Oryzias latipes: one gene and its partners. The protein of the gene in region 1 interacts with the protein of each later gene in a biochemical or structural test. Links are inferred from orthologs where the notes say so. Each region holds a gene or a part of one and is shown in the gene's direction. Other genes may lie near its edges.

Evidence for each region. The genes of interacting proteins can lie anywhere in the genome.
Region 2: the proteins of yap1 (region 1) and ptpn14 form a complex in vitro, tested with the Homo sapiens proteins (3 studies listed by BioGRID and IntAct, with this or other methods). The link is inferred for Oryzias latipes from reciprocal best matches to the Homo sapiens genes YAP1 and PTPN14.
Region 3: of the proteins of yap1 (region 1) and josd2, one has a biochemical effect on the other in vitro, tested with the Homo sapiens proteins (2 studies listed by BioGRID). The link is inferred for Oryzias latipes from reciprocal best matches to the Homo sapiens genes YAP1 and JOSD2.

The regions. Positions count from the first base shown.
Region 1 is NC_019871.2:6,487,262-6,493,567, forward strand, and holds the start of yap1 (transcriptional coactivator YAP1), read left to right. Parts: upstream 1-2,592; 5' UTR 2,593-3,188; coding exon 3,189-3,389; intron 3,390-4,489; coding exon 4,490-4,725; intron 4,726-6,306. UniProt on the Homo sapiens protein: Transcriptional regulator with dual roles as a coactivator and corepressor. Critical downstream regulatory target in the Hippo signaling pathway, crucial for organ size control and tumor suppression by restricting proliferation and promoting apoptosis.
Region 2 is NC_019882.2:9,164,727-9,170,948, forward strand, and holds the start of ptpn14 (tyrosine-protein phosphatase non-receptor type 14), read left to right. Parts: upstream 1-2,766; 5' UTR 2,767-3,163; intron 3,164-6,222. UniProt on the Homo sapiens protein: Protein tyrosine phosphatase which may play a role in the regulation of lymphangiogenesis, cell-cell adhesion, cell-matrix adhesion, cell migration, cell growth and also regulates TGF-beta gene expression, thereby modulating epithelial-mesenchymal transition.
Region 3 is NC_019874.2:19,499,574-19,506,048, reverse strand, and holds the start of josd2 (josephin-2), read left to right. Parts: upstream 1-3,019; 5' UTR 3,020-3,127; exon of another isoform or gene 3,128-3,251; intron 3,252-3,379; 5' UTR 3,380-3,386; coding exon 3,387-3,508; intron 3,509-6,140; coding exon 6,141-6,266; intron 6,267-6,475. Other genes in the region: ube2s (ubiquitin-conjugating enzyme E2 S), read right to left, coding at 862-864. UniProt on the Homo sapiens protein: Cleaves 'Lys-63'-linked poly-ubiquitin chains, and with lesser efficiency 'Lys-48'-linked poly-ubiquitin chains (in vitro). May act as a deubiquitinating enzyme.

The DNA.
Region 1 (6,306 bases):
AACAACTCCTACACCAAAGGTAGAAAACTCATGCACATTTGCCCTCAAACCATTAATAGTTTTGTACACTCTGATGCACATAATTACATTTAATTCTTTAAACTGCTCAATAGCCAGAAACCCAACAAGAAGAGGCAAGAGTGTTGGAAGTGGATTTCCCAGAGGTGCAAGTTTAAGCTTGTGCTGCTGTCCCTGCTGAAGTTAAATCTCAGCATTCATTCTTTCTAACACCATTCATATCAGCTGTATTATATCTTTCATAAAAGGGTCATTTGATCAAGTGTTTTATGAGTCTAATAAATTGTTTTTCGTTGAATACTCATCTAAAATAACGGGGATTTTTTAAGAGTCAGTTAGAAAAAAGTGGAGAAAAATATAGAAAAATAACAAATCTTAATGAATTATTAGGCATTTAATTTCAAACACCCTCTAAAAAAACGATTTTTTTGTATTTTTAAATACTTATGGAAGAGTTAAGATAAAATAAAAACTTTTTTAAAAGTTTTCGTAGTTGCTGTGAGTAACCACTAGGTGGCGCTTGGGTCTGCCTGTTCCCTCAGCCACTCTTTTTGGTGACCTAATCTCAAACTATCAGATCAAGTGTTAAATAAAGAGCTGGTTTGCTTCTCTTAGGAAAACAAAACTGTTCGGTTTGATGAGTTTATAAAAAAAACACAACAAAAACAAAAAAAACAAAGTGTCCCATAACATCTTTAAGGGGAATGAAGTCATATGGATAAGGAGTGGCTGCTAGGTGGGTGGTCTGCCTGGTGCTGCAAGACACTGAGGTCCATCACTTGCTGTGTCTGAGTCAGTGACAGAGAACGAAGTAAAAAAAGGAAAAAGGCCACTTTCCCTCGTTTAATGGAAATTTCGAGACAGGCAGCACGTGCTCTCAGAATGTTTTATGTCTTATTTGAAATCTGGAAAGTGGTGACATTTACAAGGAAAGCCTTTACTGGAAACACAAACTCACAGTGGTGATCAAATGAAGGACTTTTTTATTGCATTATCAATTTATAAAAACCTAAAAACATTTCAAAGTCCAGATTTGAAAAAAAAAAAAAAAGCCATTTAGGTTTTGAATTGGATGCTGGTTTTTGCATAATTAATAAAACAAATTTGTGTCTAAACTAACAAACGTGATCATCTACCCACCAAAACAATGGCCGCTCTTTAATCTGCAGCTTTCTTTAGGTATGTATTAGGGCTTCATAATCATTTATTCACTCATTGTATGGGACAGAGATGCTTCTGTATCTAGAGAAGGAGGTTCTTGACAAAATGATTTCTCAATGGAAGAGGGGCCTCATTAGCATAACAATTGTGGGAACTTGCATGGCTCTACTTTACATACAGTGTAAAAAGAAAAAAGAAAGAAGAGATTGTTCCATTTCCCTCAGCGATTGAAAGAAAATTGTTCTTTTCAAGATTCTTGGGAAAAATCGTGGCACCTTTTATGTTCGCAGCTATTTTCTAAAGTGGACTTTCTGCAGGCCTTTTCTGGATCAAATCTGTCTGTGTGTGAAGCACAGAGATGAGTTTAATTCAACAGATTTATCAGGATTTTAATGTCGCATTTGGGGGTTTTCTTCTTGTCAATAGGTCTGTTTAGTTGTACAGAGCAACCTCTGGTCAATATAGGCGTCTCATTTCAGGCTTCATTTTTGTCTATTAGAAATTTGTGTTTGACATCATAGATGGTCACTTCACTGTTTGTGTATGTTTATCGCTAATTATACAAAAAAAAAAATGTTCCTTAATGAAATAAAAAACAGACCATTTCAAAACACTCCCCTGTAAAACAAACTTATCATAAATGGAAAACAAAGTAGCATACGTCAACAAACAAGGGATCCTGGAAAACCTCTTAATTCAATGTTTAAAGTTCCTTTTTGTTTTTTTTTAGAGGGGAGTCGATAGAAAATGATCTGCCTCTGAAACCAGCTTCTACTGGTCATTTTAGGAACTGCAACATTTAATATTTTCAGGAATTCTTACATTTGGTAACTGGATATTTTAATTAAAAGCAAAAAAAAAAAAAAAAAAAGAAATCAAAGAACAAAGGGACCCTGGGAATCTACCTGTAGGGTGTAAATTTGTGGTTTTTCAAATTGGAGAGTCATTGGAAAATCCCCTACCTCTGAAACCAGCCTCTAGTGGTCATTTTAGGAACTGCAGTATTTAGTTCTTTAGGGTTTGTCTCACATTTGGTAACTGGACGCTTAAATTCAAAGCAAAAAACATTTTTTTAAACTGATCCTGGGAAGCACATCTGTAAATTTAGGGTCTAAATTTGTAGTTTCGTAGGAGGGGAGTCAATAGAAAACGACCTCCCTCTGATACCAGCCTCTAGTGGTCATTTTTGAAACTACAACATTTTCTTTTATTGTTATTTTAATATTTTCTTAAAGATCGAGGTAAATAGAAATAAAAGCTATATTTTATAATTTTGTTGTATACTTCATAATTGCTATTTTGTCGCAGTCTTAAGTTTAATGCTTTTTTGCAGGATAAATGGGTCTCAGGATAACTGCCTGTACCTTTAACTCATCCCAGTTGGAGTGTGGCCCCGCCCCCTTTGCGCAGACGTCCCATGAGCCATAAAGTTTTATGTCCTGCTCAAAGTTTAGGCTAACAGGAGGAAACTTTTTTTCGGGGCAGTGAGCGGCACAGATTTGCGCTGAGTCTGCCTTGGAAAATTCCTGGGGAGGAAAAAGTTTTGAAACTTTTCCGAAATTGGGAATGCCGGGACTTCTTTTTACTGCCTGAACTTTGGTGGTGTTACCTTTTTTTTTTTTTTTTTCACCAACTTTTGCGGCACTTTTTTTCTGAAGGGGGGGGGAGTAAAAGCTGGGTCCGGACGACAATACAGATTCCAGAGTGGAGCAGATATGCGCTTTGTTTTATGTACAAGTATGTCAGCTGGGAAAAGCCAAGGAAAGCGGCCTTTCTCTGCTGATTTTGACAGCTAACATCGTTCGAAAACAGCCTCGCGGCGGTCCGCTCGAAAAAGTAGACCGACGTTAAAAAGTCATGACTTTGCAAAACTTTTACTAAGTTTCGTTAGAAGTTAAAGATTTGACAAAAAAAAAAAAAAAGTTCGGGGACGGCTCGAACCGCCTTTGAAAAGTTTCGTAACTCAACGTTTTCGGGCCGCAAAGAGTTCGCAGAGCGCTTGTGGAACAATGGATCCGAGCCAGCACAACCCTCCTGTCGGACACCAGATCGTTCACGTTCGGGGCGACTCGGAAACGGACCTGGAGGCGCTTTTCAACGCCGTGATGAACCCCAAGGGCGCCGTCGTGCCCCAGTCCGTGCCCATGAGGATGAGGAAGCTGCCGGACTCCTTCTTCAAGCCCCCGGAGCCCAAGTCCCATTCCAGACAAGTAAGACCCCCCCCCTCCAATCCCGCGGGGGCCCCGGCCTAAACACGGCCACCTCTGCTCAAAACAACCGCTCCATCTAGTTTTTTTGTTAAAATCACGATTTTAGTCCGTTTTTTTAAATGTATTGTAAGCGCAAATTATAATTTTAATTAAAAGAAAATCATCAAAACATTAAAAAAAAGTTTAAACGTTTTGCAAGAAATGTGGATACATTTATTTGAACATAAAACTTTATTGCGAAACTTTGTTAATTCATTTATAAACAGTCATTTAAAGGTTAGTTAGATATACTTTTTATTTTATTTTAATACAGCTTCAATATAGAAATCATATGATGATTGGATTTACCCCATCAACCCCTCCCTCCCAATTTCCCCTTTCGACTGCTTACCGAAGTTTTGTAACTAGTGCGCATGCGCCGTGCAGGCCCTCTGGTGCCTTGGATTATCTCTGTGGGCCCTGACACAAGTTGGATGCACATCCAGATGACTCAACAGTGTTCAAGTCTGACTTAATGATCATTTTTTTTTCATTTTTTAGAGATTTTTCATTATGCTGCTGTTTTATAATACAGTCCAAAATGAATCACTGTGATACTCCTCATTGGGACAAACAAGATAAATAATGTCTTTGTCTTTGTCGCTAATAAACTAGATATAATGCAGAAGTACTGCAAATTTTTTTTTTGGGGGGGGGGGTCCTAGACAAACAAAAAACAAAAAAAAACTAAATAAAACCCCCACCTGCCAACTTTACTATTTGTTGTTTATCCCCCCCATATATGTTTACATTTCAAATAAAAAAGCTTGTCTTTATGCATTTATTTTTGAAAGCACGCATAAACTGTAATAAAAACTAGAAGAACTTCAGAAGAAGACTAAACAATTCCAAACCCAGCCCACAAAACATACAGTTTATAGATATTAGGAAACGAGACAAAACATGTATGTAGTCACAGATGATCATTCAATGAAAAATACAGTTTATAGGGGACTAAAGCAAGCAGGTCCTCTAAAGGTACATGAAAATATGTGACATTTAGTTATCAATGTATTGAAACAATGTAAAAAAATAAATAAAACATCTTCTTTGTAACTCAGGCTAGCACTGATGCTGGGAGTGGCGGCGTGCTCACCCCCCACCACGTACGCGCACACTCGTCTCCAGCTTCCCTGCAGCTGGGCGCCGTTTCGGGTGGCTCCCTGTCTGGGATGGCCTCAGCAGGCGCCTCCCCCCAACATCTCCGGCAGTCGTCCTACGAGATTCCCGACGACGTGCCCCTGCCGCCAGGCTGGGAGATGGCCAAGACCAGCTCCGGCCAGAGATACTTTCTCAAGTAAGTGTGCAATCTAACAGCGTGTGCATAAAAGTGAACGGGGCTGGAATCGAAAACGGGTGGACAGCAGACGGTAACATCTGGACACCAAAATGGGTCTCGTTTCTTCGTCGAGAGGAGTACGAACTCAAAGCCTGGAGGCATTTAAAAACTGTCAAGGTTCCATAACCTTTCTTCCAAAACATAATTTGCAGAATGCACCTGTTAATGGGACTCTAATGTTCCACCGATTAGGTTAACGCCCATAAAAAAACGGACCAAAGCGAGTCCAACAGATGTGGAACAGGTGTTGTTTTCGTCCAACCTGCAGAACATCTGTTGCACAGACTGTACATGCGAGGCACTGAATGCCCCATCGAGTGTGGCTTTCAAAATATCCCCGTGTGATGAGTTGCACCCAAACATTCAAAGAGTTCTCCCAGCAGATCTTTGATTTCTGCGCCAGGGTCCACGTGCAGCAAAGACCTCCAGAAATCCTTCTGGTTCTCTTTGGTTTCAAGATGGCGGCGGACATCATCGGGCCGGAAGCAGAAATCATACAACTAATCCTAACCCAAAAGTGTTCGGAATTGTAGCCAAAACTTCTACCAAGGCTTCAAATGAGAGAAATCGTAACTGTTGTCAGTTAAAATGAAAATTCTCTGAGCGATAATGGTGGACTTTCCAAGGACTTCTGGTTCTGGACATCCATGTCTGCAGCCAGGCATCAAACCTAAGCTGGCCTATGCAGTGGGCTTTCACCTGGAAGTAACAGAAAACCCTGATCAAACAGAGCAACCACAAACAATTTGGGACAAAACTAGTTTTCTCAATTTCACGCAGCGTTGATTGGGTTTTAATTTCCATGACGTGTTTTCCTTTCTAATCCAAGGAAGTCTTTATCAACCAAAAATGTATTTATAGATGGGTTACAATTCATAACCATTTGAAGTCCACCTCAGTACTGAATGTACTAAGTGCACATAGTCTGAGTGTTATTTAGTTCATTGCCCCATGTTAGACCAAGTTGGTGCCAGCTACTCCGTTTATGAGATATCAAAATGAAAAAAGCCAACAAACATGGTCTGTTGAGGAGTTCAGCTGGGGGCCTTATCTCCACCCAGTCACCCTTCTTTCTGTAAATCTGTTTACCTCTTATTTTGATTTGGTTAAACGGTTCATATATATGCATATTTGTAATTATGTTTAGTATTTTAGTGTGTTTCTTTGGTACTCATTGTGAATAATCATTCTTGTTGTCTGCATTTGCATAGCTTTGGTTTTCCATCCACCTAAAATCTGTTGTTGCCTGGAAATTTCTGGAAAATATTGCAGTCATTAAAGCTGGTAAAAAAACACAAAAAAGACAAAGAAAAACCTCCAAAACATTGAGTCAAGGAATTAGGGTGACTTTGTAAGTTAAAACAAAATGTCAGGAAAAGTTCAGGATCAACATTTTGGAGGTTTTAGCCCCCAGTAAAGCCAGAGAAATGTTCCCTGTCCCTCAAAGGACGGCTCTGTTCAGCGTGCATCGTGCTGACCATCATTTCCAAATCTGCTACAGTGCACAATGGTGGCCGGTGTGCGCAGAAGGAGACAATC
Region 2 (6,222 bases), on another chromosome or scaffold:
GGGGAACTCAATCCTAAAATCATTTTACCTGCATTGTGCTTGTAGGACTGGTTAAGGTGAATAATCCAGTCAATGTTGGGTATTTCTGTTAAAAATATGCAAAGTATTGATTAACATAGTTCCAATAACTCAGTTTTTAAACAATATGACACATTTAAAGATTTTTTAAATGCACAAAAAGTAAACATAGCATAACATCTGACCTGGATTGTTTTGTTTCAAACTGCAACAATTTAGAATTTAATTCCTATGCCTTTTTTTTAATGGCATTTTTTCACATCGTTTCAGTTATGAGTGTAGTACAGTGTTTGTTTTCTAAAAGCACCAGCCTTGCATGTGACTAATGTGTTTGGCCACTTTGATAGCATAAGATGCTGAAATCAAAATGTTCTTTTGTGAAACCAAGCGCCGACCCACTTTGGGATGCAGGAGGCACCAGGTCAGAGCAGGGTCACAGTCAAAAAGCAACGTGTTTTTGAGCTTATCGGCACCGCGATCGGACTTTAGGTGTGGACTCTAAAAGGAAGCCTTTATTGTGGAGGCCTTCCGTGAGGAGACCTCAATTCTGCAGGTCTGCTTAAACACAGACATCAGATAACGTGTCACATGCCTGCTTTTGTCTTTCTTCCAAGTGTCTCACAGTTAAAAAAAAAAAAAAAAAAATGATGTACAAAACAGGCTAACAAGTTCATAAATAAACTTCCAAGTTTAATTAAATTATTTTCAAGTGGTTTAAGTCTATTAAAGAAAGTGTGATTCCAGTGGTTTAGAGCTCAAAGATAATGTTTTTTGTGTTAACTTTTCTTGAATTTTTCCCCCAAATATAAACAATTACAGCAATTTTCTACCCAAATATTAGTGTATCGGCAGCACATGGCACGACACCACAGAAAATTTATGTTCCAAATGATCAAAATAACGTCACTTATAACGATCAAATGATCAAAATAACGATCAAAATAACGTCACGTCTTTGTCGTTTTTCTTCATAAAATTACATAGTTGGGGTGTAATTACATTTTTTGCCGTTTAAAGGTTTCATTATGTAAAATCAATCAGGACTGAACATGTGCTCCTAAGCCAGCTCTACATAAACAAAAGAAAGCAGATATATTAGAGATTTTACAGCAGAAGTTTTTGAATCATCCTTTTCTTTTTTTGCAAAAATGTAAAAAAAATTGTTCTAATGATTTATTGTAATCACTACAATTCTGATGGGCCTGTATAGATGTGGTGACGCATTCAAGGTGTACTCCGCCTTTGGCCTTAAAAAAATTAAGGGATAGGCTCCAGCCAGCATCTTTTTGACCCCCGTGCAGGCTCTCAGAGAGATGAGCCTTAAACATTTGATCTATGGCAGGTTAAATTTATTGTATTTGAGAATTTAATGTTATAAATTCTTTCAGTATTTTTTGAAAGTATGTCCTTTGCTTATTTTTATGGCTGTCATTTGCTGTTTCAGCCACAAGAGGCTGCAACTTGTCCACAAATACAGTATGATAATCTTCAGTTTTCACATCTGAGACAGTTAAAAATCCTGACAAACTTTAGCAATAAAAGGCAGAAAATCAAAGAAGCCCTGCATGTGTTCTGTAAAAAAAGGCCTATGTTTGAAAAATTAAATATATATTTACATCCAGGAAAAATCCTTTGTTTGACGTCTTTAAAAATGTATTTTATTTTTGTAGTTCTAGATAACACTTTTTTTTAAATAAGTACAGTTATTAAATTAAAAAAAGAAATTCTCTTTTAATGGCCTTTTTTTTTACAAAGTGTGAAAAAGTGTAAAAGTTTAACATTGCAACAAGTAGAGATAATACAAAAAAACACTTTTTTTTGTTGGTACTTTTGGGATAAATATGGATCAACATATATTTAAAAACGTGTTATATTTGTCGGTTATTTGAATTTACTCCTTCACAGCGTCGTTAGCACGCAACGGCGGAACATAAAAAAGAGAGGGGGGCCCTACTTTGTGCGTGAGTCTCCCGCGGCCCCTGGAAAACCATTAAACGCAGAGGACTTCTCCCAGAATTCCCGCATTCCTGGGATTTCTCCACTCTGATGTCAGAACAGTGGGGGCGGGGCTCTGAAGGCGTCTGGACCCAATGAGGCGTTCACGTACACCATCAACGCTACCAGCGCTACCAAAAGAGTTTTCAATTTATTAAATTTCAAGCAAATAGCATATATTGGCTACAGTAAAATTTTTTAAGGAAATATGAAATTTAAAATCTAATTATGGTTAAACACAGAGGTGTTCTGAGGTTATTTGTTTATATCATTACACAACTTTATTTTAGTTGCAATTTTAAATGACCAAGTGCAAAAAAGGTGCTTTGAAATAAAAAGGAAAGAGATGTATACATAAACATAATAAGAAAATATAAAAATCATATGGCAATGAACTAAAAAAAAGAAGAAAAGAAAGAACAAGGAAAATCCAATATCCAAAATATAATGAAAAAAAAAAACAATTAAAAAAACTGCATAAATGAAAGATGGGTAAAATTCTCATAAACACAATTTTTAACCCGAAATTTGTTTCAAAAAAACAAAATTGAAAGCACAGATTAAATACACATTTTTATTTAATTTATGAATAATATAAAGTTATGACTAATGATGTAAGAATGCATGAGAAATGTACTTAAAAAATATTTAGAAAAACACCGATTAAAAAAATAAAAAGGAACACGTTTAGTAAAAATCCTTATTCCGATTATTTTCTTGGGTTTTGAACGCAGCGTATTCTGTATTCCCCGCCCGCCCTGAACGCCTCCATTGGACTGCAGGGACCGCTACTATAAACACACGAAGAGTTGCAGCGAGAGAAGAGCACATCTTTGGCCGATCTGCACGACTTTTACCAAAGTTTTGCGCAGTTTTTGTGCGCCATGAGAGCATCAGAACAAAAGAAGTTCCGAAAAAGCACCAGCTTGGGGACGCGCAGCAGCTTTGGTGGCGTTTTCTCTCAATCATTTTTCTCTCTTGTGAAGTTTGAAAAGACTTTCGACATCTCTGCTCCCCAGTCGGAATTTTAAACTGCTTTAAAAAAAAAAGGCTCTTCTGAGGATTAAACCCACTCCGCGGCGAATCGCCTCCAAAACCGAGGAGATTTGGAATGTAGCGCAAAGGAAAAAAGAAAAAAGAAAAAAAAAAGGTGAGTTTGAGTTCTGAGGAAAAAGTTGGACATTTGTGTTTTAACTATTTGAAGTTCGTAGCAAGGATGTGTTGACTTTGAAAAAAAAAATAGAGGAAACGCTAACTGTGTAAATCAGTCTTGATGATACAAACATTTAAGTTAAATTAAGTATCACGGGAGAAATGACTCTCCCCTCATAGATCAACACAGATAAACACACAGTTTGGACTCAGGCTGGGTAAAGATGCTCACAAAAAGATGCGAAATGGAAGAAAACTGATGACTTTTAGGGGGATCAATCAGAAAGTGTCATATTTTACCTAAAGAAAACCCATCAGAGATTGTGGTGGTCCCACATGGAGCCCGGGAACTGATCCAGTCAGGGTAAGTGAATGCACACAGGTGTGTCTGGAACATGTGGAGCTGAGTTTGAGCAGAGCTGCTGATGTTTTTCTGTTGGTCTCTCACACCCTGGCATTCATGTTTGTGTAGAAGATGTGTTTGGACATGCATTTCTATGGACTGCCACTTCAAACAGGCAGAGAGGCAGGCAGGCAGGCAGGGAGGGAGGAGGTGGTGGTGGTGGTGGTGGTGGTGGGGTTGCTGTGTGCTCTGAAATGGAAAAGAAAGGATAGTTACAGCACGCGCGCATCTGGTTATCTTTATGAGCTCAAAGGCACGCTGTTTAAATTACATAGTGACTTGGGAGTACACCCATGTGAAGAATTTAAAGGACTAAAACATGTGAAGCATGAGCACCTATCCACTTCCTGCTCCACACACTCCATGGAGGTGGCTGAGGTGGTTCTGCAGCAGCAGCAGAGGAAAGCAGCTGAAATGTGCCGTTCCTGATTTTCACTGAAGGTCAATCCCCACAATAGGTGTTTACTGGATGCTGCCGCCCGGCAGTTAACAGCCTGAGCGGTTATTGTTTGTGCAGCCAATTGTTATTTAAGGACATAGGCCGTTTGATTATAGTGTGGTGCAAACATAAATGTCATTTTGGCCGAATGCTTTTGGCAAGCAGAAGAAAACGGGCATCAGTGGTCACTGTTATCACTAAAGCACCACTCCGGCCACTGTTGAAGAAACAGACGGACCGAACGGTTGGTCCAAATGGGGATCAATAGAAGCATTTTTGCCTCCCCATACTGCCAAGGATGGCGGCTTTGAATAGAGCGCAGAGAGCACACTGACGGGTCTGTCAGTGACATGGCGTCTGATTACCAACAAGACCATCACATGTGGACTCGTCTGACCTCAGAACACTGTTCCACTTTGAAACGGCTCCTTTTTAAATGAATCTTGACCTAATGACACACTGCTTCTGGGCCCTGTGGCTTCCTTTCTGCAGGATGGAGCTTTTGGGCTCACCCTCAAACCTTTCTGCTTCCTTGAATCATTTGGCAGCATCATCGACACAATCACAAGGAATGTTGTCTTAAATTGTCCCTGACACACAGAGATTTCTTCAGTTTCTCTAAATTGTTTGTTTATCTTCTGCTTTGTAGAAAATAAAACTTCTAACCCATCTACAGTTTGGTGTTGAGGAATGTTTTTTAAAAGTATTTAAAGGCCGTGTTTTTAGTTATTTTTTTACCATGTTCTTGTGGTGTTTTTCTCATGAGGAAATATTGAAAAAAAATCTAGCTTAAAGTTTCAATTCTGAATTTTTTTTTTTAATTAAAATATTTGTGAATCAGGAGGGGAGCCGGTTTAGCTCGTGCTGGTTTGCGGCGCCTTCCGTCCGTGAAAACCAGGGTTCGACTTCGGGCTGCTCCCTGTTCCCTTCTGTGCCGGTCCCAAGCCCGTTTGCTTTGAGAGGGTTGCGTCAGGAAGGGCATCCGGCGTAAAACATTGCCAAGTTTACTATGCGACTCGTTCGCTGTGGCGACCCCTGATGGGAAAAGCCAAAAGAGAAACATTTGTGAATCAGGAGTCCTTAGACTGCCTTCTCCGCTCCCTTCTGATGCATCCATGTTGATCTTTGTTTTTCCTCGTCTGAGCTGGAATCTGGCTCAAAACCGTACAGCTGGATAGCTTCAATATTGCTCGCCATTTCGCCATGCAGCAATAATGTTTGGTTGGGGTTGTGAGGGGCTGCACGCTAGCCAAAGAGCACGTAAACGGATGGATGAAGGGAAGGGGGATGTCTTACGCCGCACCCACTGTTCTGCCCACAACTCAGAGGCAAAATTTCTGATGGACTACTGCTGCTCTGCAGAAACTATGTTCTATAGAACCACACAGGTTTTTTGATTTAGGCTAAAAACGGCATAATCATAATTAAGAGACGACTGGGAACGCTTTGAAAATGGATCATAAGATGATCCGAGTGGGACTCTAACAGTTATTAAAACACTTTTGATGTAAATCTTGTTGCTTAAGGATTAAAAGACCACCTCCACCTCTGTAATCATCCTCCAGATCTCCTCACCCCCCCTTTCCCCCATTCTTCTGTGCCCTTACCCCCTGTCACTGACATCCCTTCCTTCTTTCCTCTTCTTCTTTTCTGTCCAGTCCAACGAAAAAAAAAAAAAGAAAATACAAATGTTCGTTCATTCATTCATCTTCTGTATAGTTAGCTCCCGTTCGGGGTCACATGGCTGCTGGAGCCTATCCCTGCCACTTTTGGGTGAAGGCTGGGGTCGTCAGTCTGCCGCAGGACCACGATCACACACCCATGCACACGCACATTCACAAACAAATGTAATGAATATAAATCAAGTTTAGCCTAAATTACAGAAGTGGTTTACACAAATGCACATATTGTGTGTCAGAAGATCCACAACCTTCTGTTTTAACAGCAAAATATGTCCAACACTTTTACAGATCAAATGGCCTCTTTCATTCTTTTCATTCCAATACTCTGCCTCTACAAGACATTCATTTTTATGATAATTGTGTCACAGACCTGACATCAATTAACCTAAGTAATTTTTTAACGTCGTGGCTTCAGATTGGAAATAAACTTCATTAGTTGATGAAGAAGATGCTGTTTGGTTTAGGGTTTTAGTTGATTTATATATTTACTCTATTAAATAAAAACATCACAACTTTTTTTTTTTTTTGCTTGT
Region 3 (6,475 bases), on another chromosome or scaffold:
AACCGATTTGATAACGAGAGAAAAATACAAAGAAATCACTAAAAATATAACTTAAAATTAAACAAGATACAAAGAATTTTCATCAATCTCGTTTAGTCTGATTCTTCAATAAAATATAAAGATAATAAAATGAGATAATTTAGAAAAGATAAATCCAAGCAAGCCATTGTCGGAAAATATAAATTGCTGACCACATGAGAATGTACTTAAGGATGTCACATCTGCAACACCTAAGAAGCAGCAATAAAAATGCACTTCTATTTAAACTGCACGTTCAATTGATAAAAAAAATCCTGCATTATATAAAAGTTATCATTTATTTATGTTGATTTAATACAGCTGGATGCTACTGTGCCATTTATGCTAGATTTTCAGTTAGAAATTTGCATTGCTGGGGGTCAGGAGGATATTCAAACGAATGCTATGCTGCTAGAACAAAAATACAACATTGAGTTTCAAAGTTTTTGTCGCCAAGCTTAAAGAAAAGAAGAAAAAAAGTTTTACTGTAGGTAATATAAAGGCACATTAAATCAAGGTACGATCGTATCATGACTGATAAAATATAAAATTGCAACTCTTACTAATTATTATACAGAAATAAGGAGATAACTTTACGTTAACGGTTAGCAAGAGGTAATGCCTCGAACTTAGCGTTGATTAAAGGCTGTAAAAACGCGATCATTACGCTAAAAGTACTCCGTACTATTTTTAAAATCATGTTTTGGTTCCGCGAATAAAAAACAACTTTTAAAAAAGAAAGAAAATCAACCACAACCAGGGTGTTTTTGACGATCTAACACCGGAGCAAGCTAGCAAAAACTCCCCTTAGCTGTTAGCAATACGCTCGGTCATCTGTCTTACCATCTTCGAAAATGAGATCTTTTTGGTGAATGGTTGTTTACTGGAATGGGATAAAACGAAGCTTTTTCTGCTACTATTTGAGAAAAAGTATTTTGTAGAAACTTAATCACAAAAAAAACCCTGATTACTGTCCTTTTCGCTTTAACGTTGACACAGGAACAAAAATACGATCCTCGATTTAACCTGCTGATATTAACCAATAGCCGTCTTAGCAAGTTGACGCGTATGAAGTTCCTAACCAATCACAATCTAGATTTTCTATTACGTCATGATAGAAAAAATATATAAGCCAATCAGAGTGTAAAGAGAGCTGATGCTGGTGAGCCATAGGCCCGTTTGAAAAACTCAAACTACCGATCGATACTGACAGGAAATAAACCACAATCAAGAATATCGGGTATATTAGATTAGCTAATATAATTCAATCAATAGCAGTGAGCATTTTTATAACGTGAAAAATACATTTAAAACAAATATTCCTAATTATATTTTAATATAATTGTTTAAGCAAATAAGTGAGCTGTATTTCTGAAGCACCTTTTTATGCATTTTCTAAACACTCCCTGTGGCGGTTGTTGGAGTCTATTCTAACTACCCCCAGGTGTGGTACACCCTGGACTGTCTGAGCCACACAACCACATACACTCACATTCATTACTTTTAACCTTTCCTAAACAAATGCATGTTAGCTTTTTTATAAAAGGACACAACAGAGTCAATCAGGGACACTGACAGGATAAGGGCATTCAATAAACATGGTGCCTCAACCTGAGGACAGCTTTCCTGGTTTTGGAGCAGGATTTTGGACTAACAAAAAAAATTGTAGGCCAATAATAATATTAAATGACTGTCCATCATACAAATACCAATAATTTAGTGGTGTGTCCTAAATATCTATGAACATAAAAACAAACCCCGCAACTATCAGACAATAGAACGCTATTTTAGCATTGCTGTGATCTAATGCTTGTTTTTGCACAATTTGATTTTGAAACATTGTACTCAAAACTGGCTTATGTTCTGTGAGAAATCTTTAAAAAATGTTATGCAGGTCTTTGTACATCTCAAAGTTTCCTGTGCATTTATGAAGGAAGAAACAGCGCCAAATGCAAAATAGCACACAAACAGATAACCCAATAGTGTCCTCAGGACCTCTTGTGCAAAAATCAAACATATAACTGGGAATGGTAACCAATTTGGACACAACATTGATAGAGACAATGTAGATAAAACAGGGTTTTTTTTTAATCTCAAAAGGAAGGTAGGAGAGGATAAGAAGGTCTTTTTATTACCATTCTACAAAGCTCAACAGAAATCACTGTAAATGAGACAACAGACATAACTTTAAAAAAAATCAGAACATGATACACTAACATTCAACAATTTTGACAAAGAACAACTTCAGTTCTAAATTCAACACATAACATACATTAAAAGATTTGTAAAAGGTTCAGAATAGCAACATCTGACACAATATCAGACTAAAAAATAACTGATGGAGTGCTCATGGCATCTTCAAATTATCTAATTTGTTATTAAATATTGTTCTATGAATATCTCTCCTTTCATTGGTCCTGTATGGCTGAAATGTGTTCACTCAAAACAGAAAGGTTCAACAATGGAGTTTCATCTTACATTTTGCTGCCTTTGTAATGGCTATCAACTTGTATCTCTTGGATTGAACACAGTATTTCCTGCTCAGAGCAGTTTTGCTTTCACTGAATATGATGTTATCCAGTCAATCACAGATATAGTAGACATGTTGCATTCTAGGAAAATGTAACATTATCATCAACATTCATGAATATCATCACAAGTAATTTCTCCATCAAAAAAATTCTTAAGTTGAAAGACAATAATCCATATGAAATATTTCGTGTTTTATTTTTTAATATAAATGTGTATTGTTTTTCTTTTAGAGAAAAAATATCTGAAAGTCTGTCTTCACCTCCTCTCTGCCACAACTGAAATTAATAAAGCTGCCACTAGATGACGTTGCAAGCTTACATTATTGCTATTTTGACCTGCTTAAAAACATTAAAAACAATCGCGCGGACTACCAGAAATATTTTTTTGCGTTTATTTAGTGCTATATGTACTTGGTAAATAAAAGAAAATTCGTGTTTCGGTGTTGCTCTGTGGGACTCTTTAAGCATGGGGGCGTGTTTTTTGTAGAACAACAACACGACAAAGACTCTGCTTCCGGTTTCTGGATGTAGCTGACGGACTCCAGCGTCAATAAAACGTGGATTTGCTTTATCAGCAGGTAACGAGCTCCGTTTCATTGTAATGGCGTGACAATAGTTCGCGCTGCTGCTACTTTCTAAACCACTTTTTGAGCGGCCAGCTGGTGAACTTCCACCAGGGTGTCATAGTTAGCTTCTTTTCAGGTAAGAAGATAAGAACTACTGTACTAGCTGGTGCTAACCTCTCATATTATATCTGATGCTAGCTAGCATGAGTGACGTGTGTATTCTGGTTTTGTTGACGTCCACGTTTTTGTGTTTGAAACGGAAAGCGATAGAATGAGCGAAGCCGAGGTGTTTCATGAGAAGCAACGGTTGGAGCTGTGCGCCATTCACGCGCTCAACAACGTGCTTCAGGAGCGAGTGTTTACCAAGGAGACGGCTGACGACATCTGTAAACGGTAACAACGTGCTGACATGATCTTGTACCCATTCTCTCAATTTAAAAAAAAGCATATATTGAAACACATTGGATGTATTGTAATGTGTGGTACTTGTAGTTTCCTTGTTTATGTTCGTGTTTAAGGCTTAAAACAAAACAAAACAAACAAAAACAGTCTCGATTTCCCCAGGTCATCATAGTTGAATATTTACACTTACTGGCCAATTTTATGTGGTACAACTTGCTAGTCCCGTGTTGGACCCCCTTTTGCCTTCACAACTGCCTGAAACCTTTGTGGCTTAGATTCAACAAGACTGTGGTGTTGGAACCATGCTCAGCTGGTACTAAGGGTTCCAAGGTGTGCAAAGAAAAGATCCCCCACACCATTACACCTCCACCACCAGCCTGAACTGTTGATACAAGGCAGAATGGATCCACGCTTTCGTGTTGTTGACGGCAAATTCTGACACTACAATCTGAATGTTGCTGCAGAAATGGAGACTAATCATACCAGGCAAGGTGCACGATTTTAGAATCAGTTTCCTGTTCTTAGCTGACAGGAGTGGTACCCGTTGAGGTCTTCTGCTGCTGTACCCCATCTGCCTCATGATTGGACGTGTTGTGCGTTCAGAGATGCTCTTCTGCAGAACTTGGTAACCAGTGGTTATTTGAGTTACTGTTACTTTCCTATCAGCTGGAACCAGTCTGGCCATTCTCTTCTGACATCAACAAGGCATTTCCACCCACAAAACTGCTGCTCACTGGATATTTTCCCTACAAACCCTAGAGATGGTTGTAGGTACAGTGATGAAAGTCTTCCGGGAATTCCCGGAAATCCGGGTTTTTGAGCAAACCGAACGTACTTTCCGGGAAATAAAGACCTGATCTCTACGGACAAATCGCTTTCCGGATTAAAAAATGGTCTGAAATCAGCTAATTTTAGCTTTATTTTCTATATTTCTCAGCAGATCGCTTCCTCTATGGTCGTGGCCATCTCTCGTCTTCCCGGCCTAATTGACCAATGACGGGACGTTTTAGTTGCTTTCGGATGCGTCGACGGGTCCGATTGGCTCTGTCTGCACCACGTGGTCAGCGTGACTCGCTTCCCTAGAGACCAAAACTGGCGGACCCACGCTAAATTTTCACAAACACATCTGAAGAGTTTGCGATCAAATTTGTGTTAAAATAATGGCAGGCATCGTCATTATTGAGCGTGGTCACGACCTCAGTTGTGAGAAGACGATAAAAAACAAATTGAAGTGGTCTTGGCTGGAAAAAAAAGATTTTTAAGGTAGTGTAGGTCAAATACTTTTTTGTGTAAAATAATCTCAAAACCACATTTTGAAATAATTTCAATTTTAGTTTTGAGTTTCAGTTTTTATTTTGAATACATTTCTCTATCTAATTTATTTGTATTTCCTAATTACCATGATTTAGTTCAGTATAGTTGACATTAATTATAAGTATTTGATGGTTTGGACCCGCACTCCCTTAAAAAATAATGTTTACAATGTTTAGTTTAGTTTGTATGTTTGTTTTGATATTTCCCAGATTACTTAGTATTGGTGTTAAAGAATTGATGTATTATGTTATAGAATTATAGTTTAAAGCAGATCCCATATTTTGATGTAATTATAGTTTGAGAAAACAGTGCAAGTGGATGTTGTACATCAGTCATTTCTAAAGCAGAAATAATGTATAAATAACTGAGGTATTTTCATAGAATATCATAGTTACTGGTGTTCTTTTTGCCATTTGGGGCTTTGATGTTACTATATTTTAGCAATTGTATGTTTTGCAGCTTTAAGGAAAAGCGTAGATTGTAGGATTGTGTTACTTTGAGCAATTTTCCAAATTCTTTTTTAGGACCAGCAAGTCCTTAATGGAGAGTCAAACTAGGGGTTTGAATGACAAATCATGATGCTCCAATTAGTCTTAGTTTCTTGATAAAGAAGTGAATAACTAGTTGCCAGAATGCATCTAAGACCACGTATTTTTCCAAAATTTCGCTCTGTGCCCGCCATATCGCTCAAAGAAAAGTTCAGGGATTTTTTCCTTGCCTGACTTTCATCACTGTAGGTAAAAATCCTAGCAGGTCACTTTGAAAGTCACTACAATCACCTTTCTTCCACATTCTGATCCTCGGCTTGAACTGCAGCAGATTGTGTTGACCATGAATGCCTAAACGCATTGACTTTCTGCCATGTGATTGGCTCAGTGCAAATTTGTTACCGGGCAGTTGGATGGGTGTACCTAACAAAGTGCCCAGTGAGCGTACATATCTTTTTTTTTTTTTCTGCAAAAACTTCCATCTGAATTTAAATGGATAATGTTTCTTTCAAGTCTGACCAATAAAATAAAAGCTAAACACACCCAGATGTTTATACTGTTTATATTTTTCTGGAACAAAATAATGATTGTATTTCAAACAAATAGATAACTCTTCTGCAGAGATGAAGCCACAGACAAAGTGCAGGTCTGGAGAGGCTTGTGGTTTACATCAGGACCATTAACATAATTGAGCTTGAGTTAAATTGAGTCACAGTCTTGGTGGCTTTTGGCAATCAAATTAAGCCGGACTGAGGGGCATGAGTTGCCAGACAGGGATGAAAAGGGGACATCCCTTTATAAAAATGTTGTCTTCTTTGCAGGCTGGCTCCACAGTGTGTGGTTAACCCCCATCGATCAGTGTTAGGAACAGGAAACTATGATGTTAATGTTATTATGGCAGCGCTACAGAGCAGGGAGCTGGCTGCAGTGTGGTGGGACAAACGCAGGTCAGTTCACACTCCGATCCCTGTTCATTCACAAACCTGTCTTTTTTTTTTTTTAAATTAAAGACCCTCTCAGATTATCTTTTGTTCTATTTTACACCTGTGTTGTTTTCTAGGACATAGTTTCTGCAGAGCAGTATGAGTATTAGAAATTTGCCTCAGAGCTATGGGCGGGACTGTTGGTGTGATACAAACCCCGCCTCCCTTGTGGC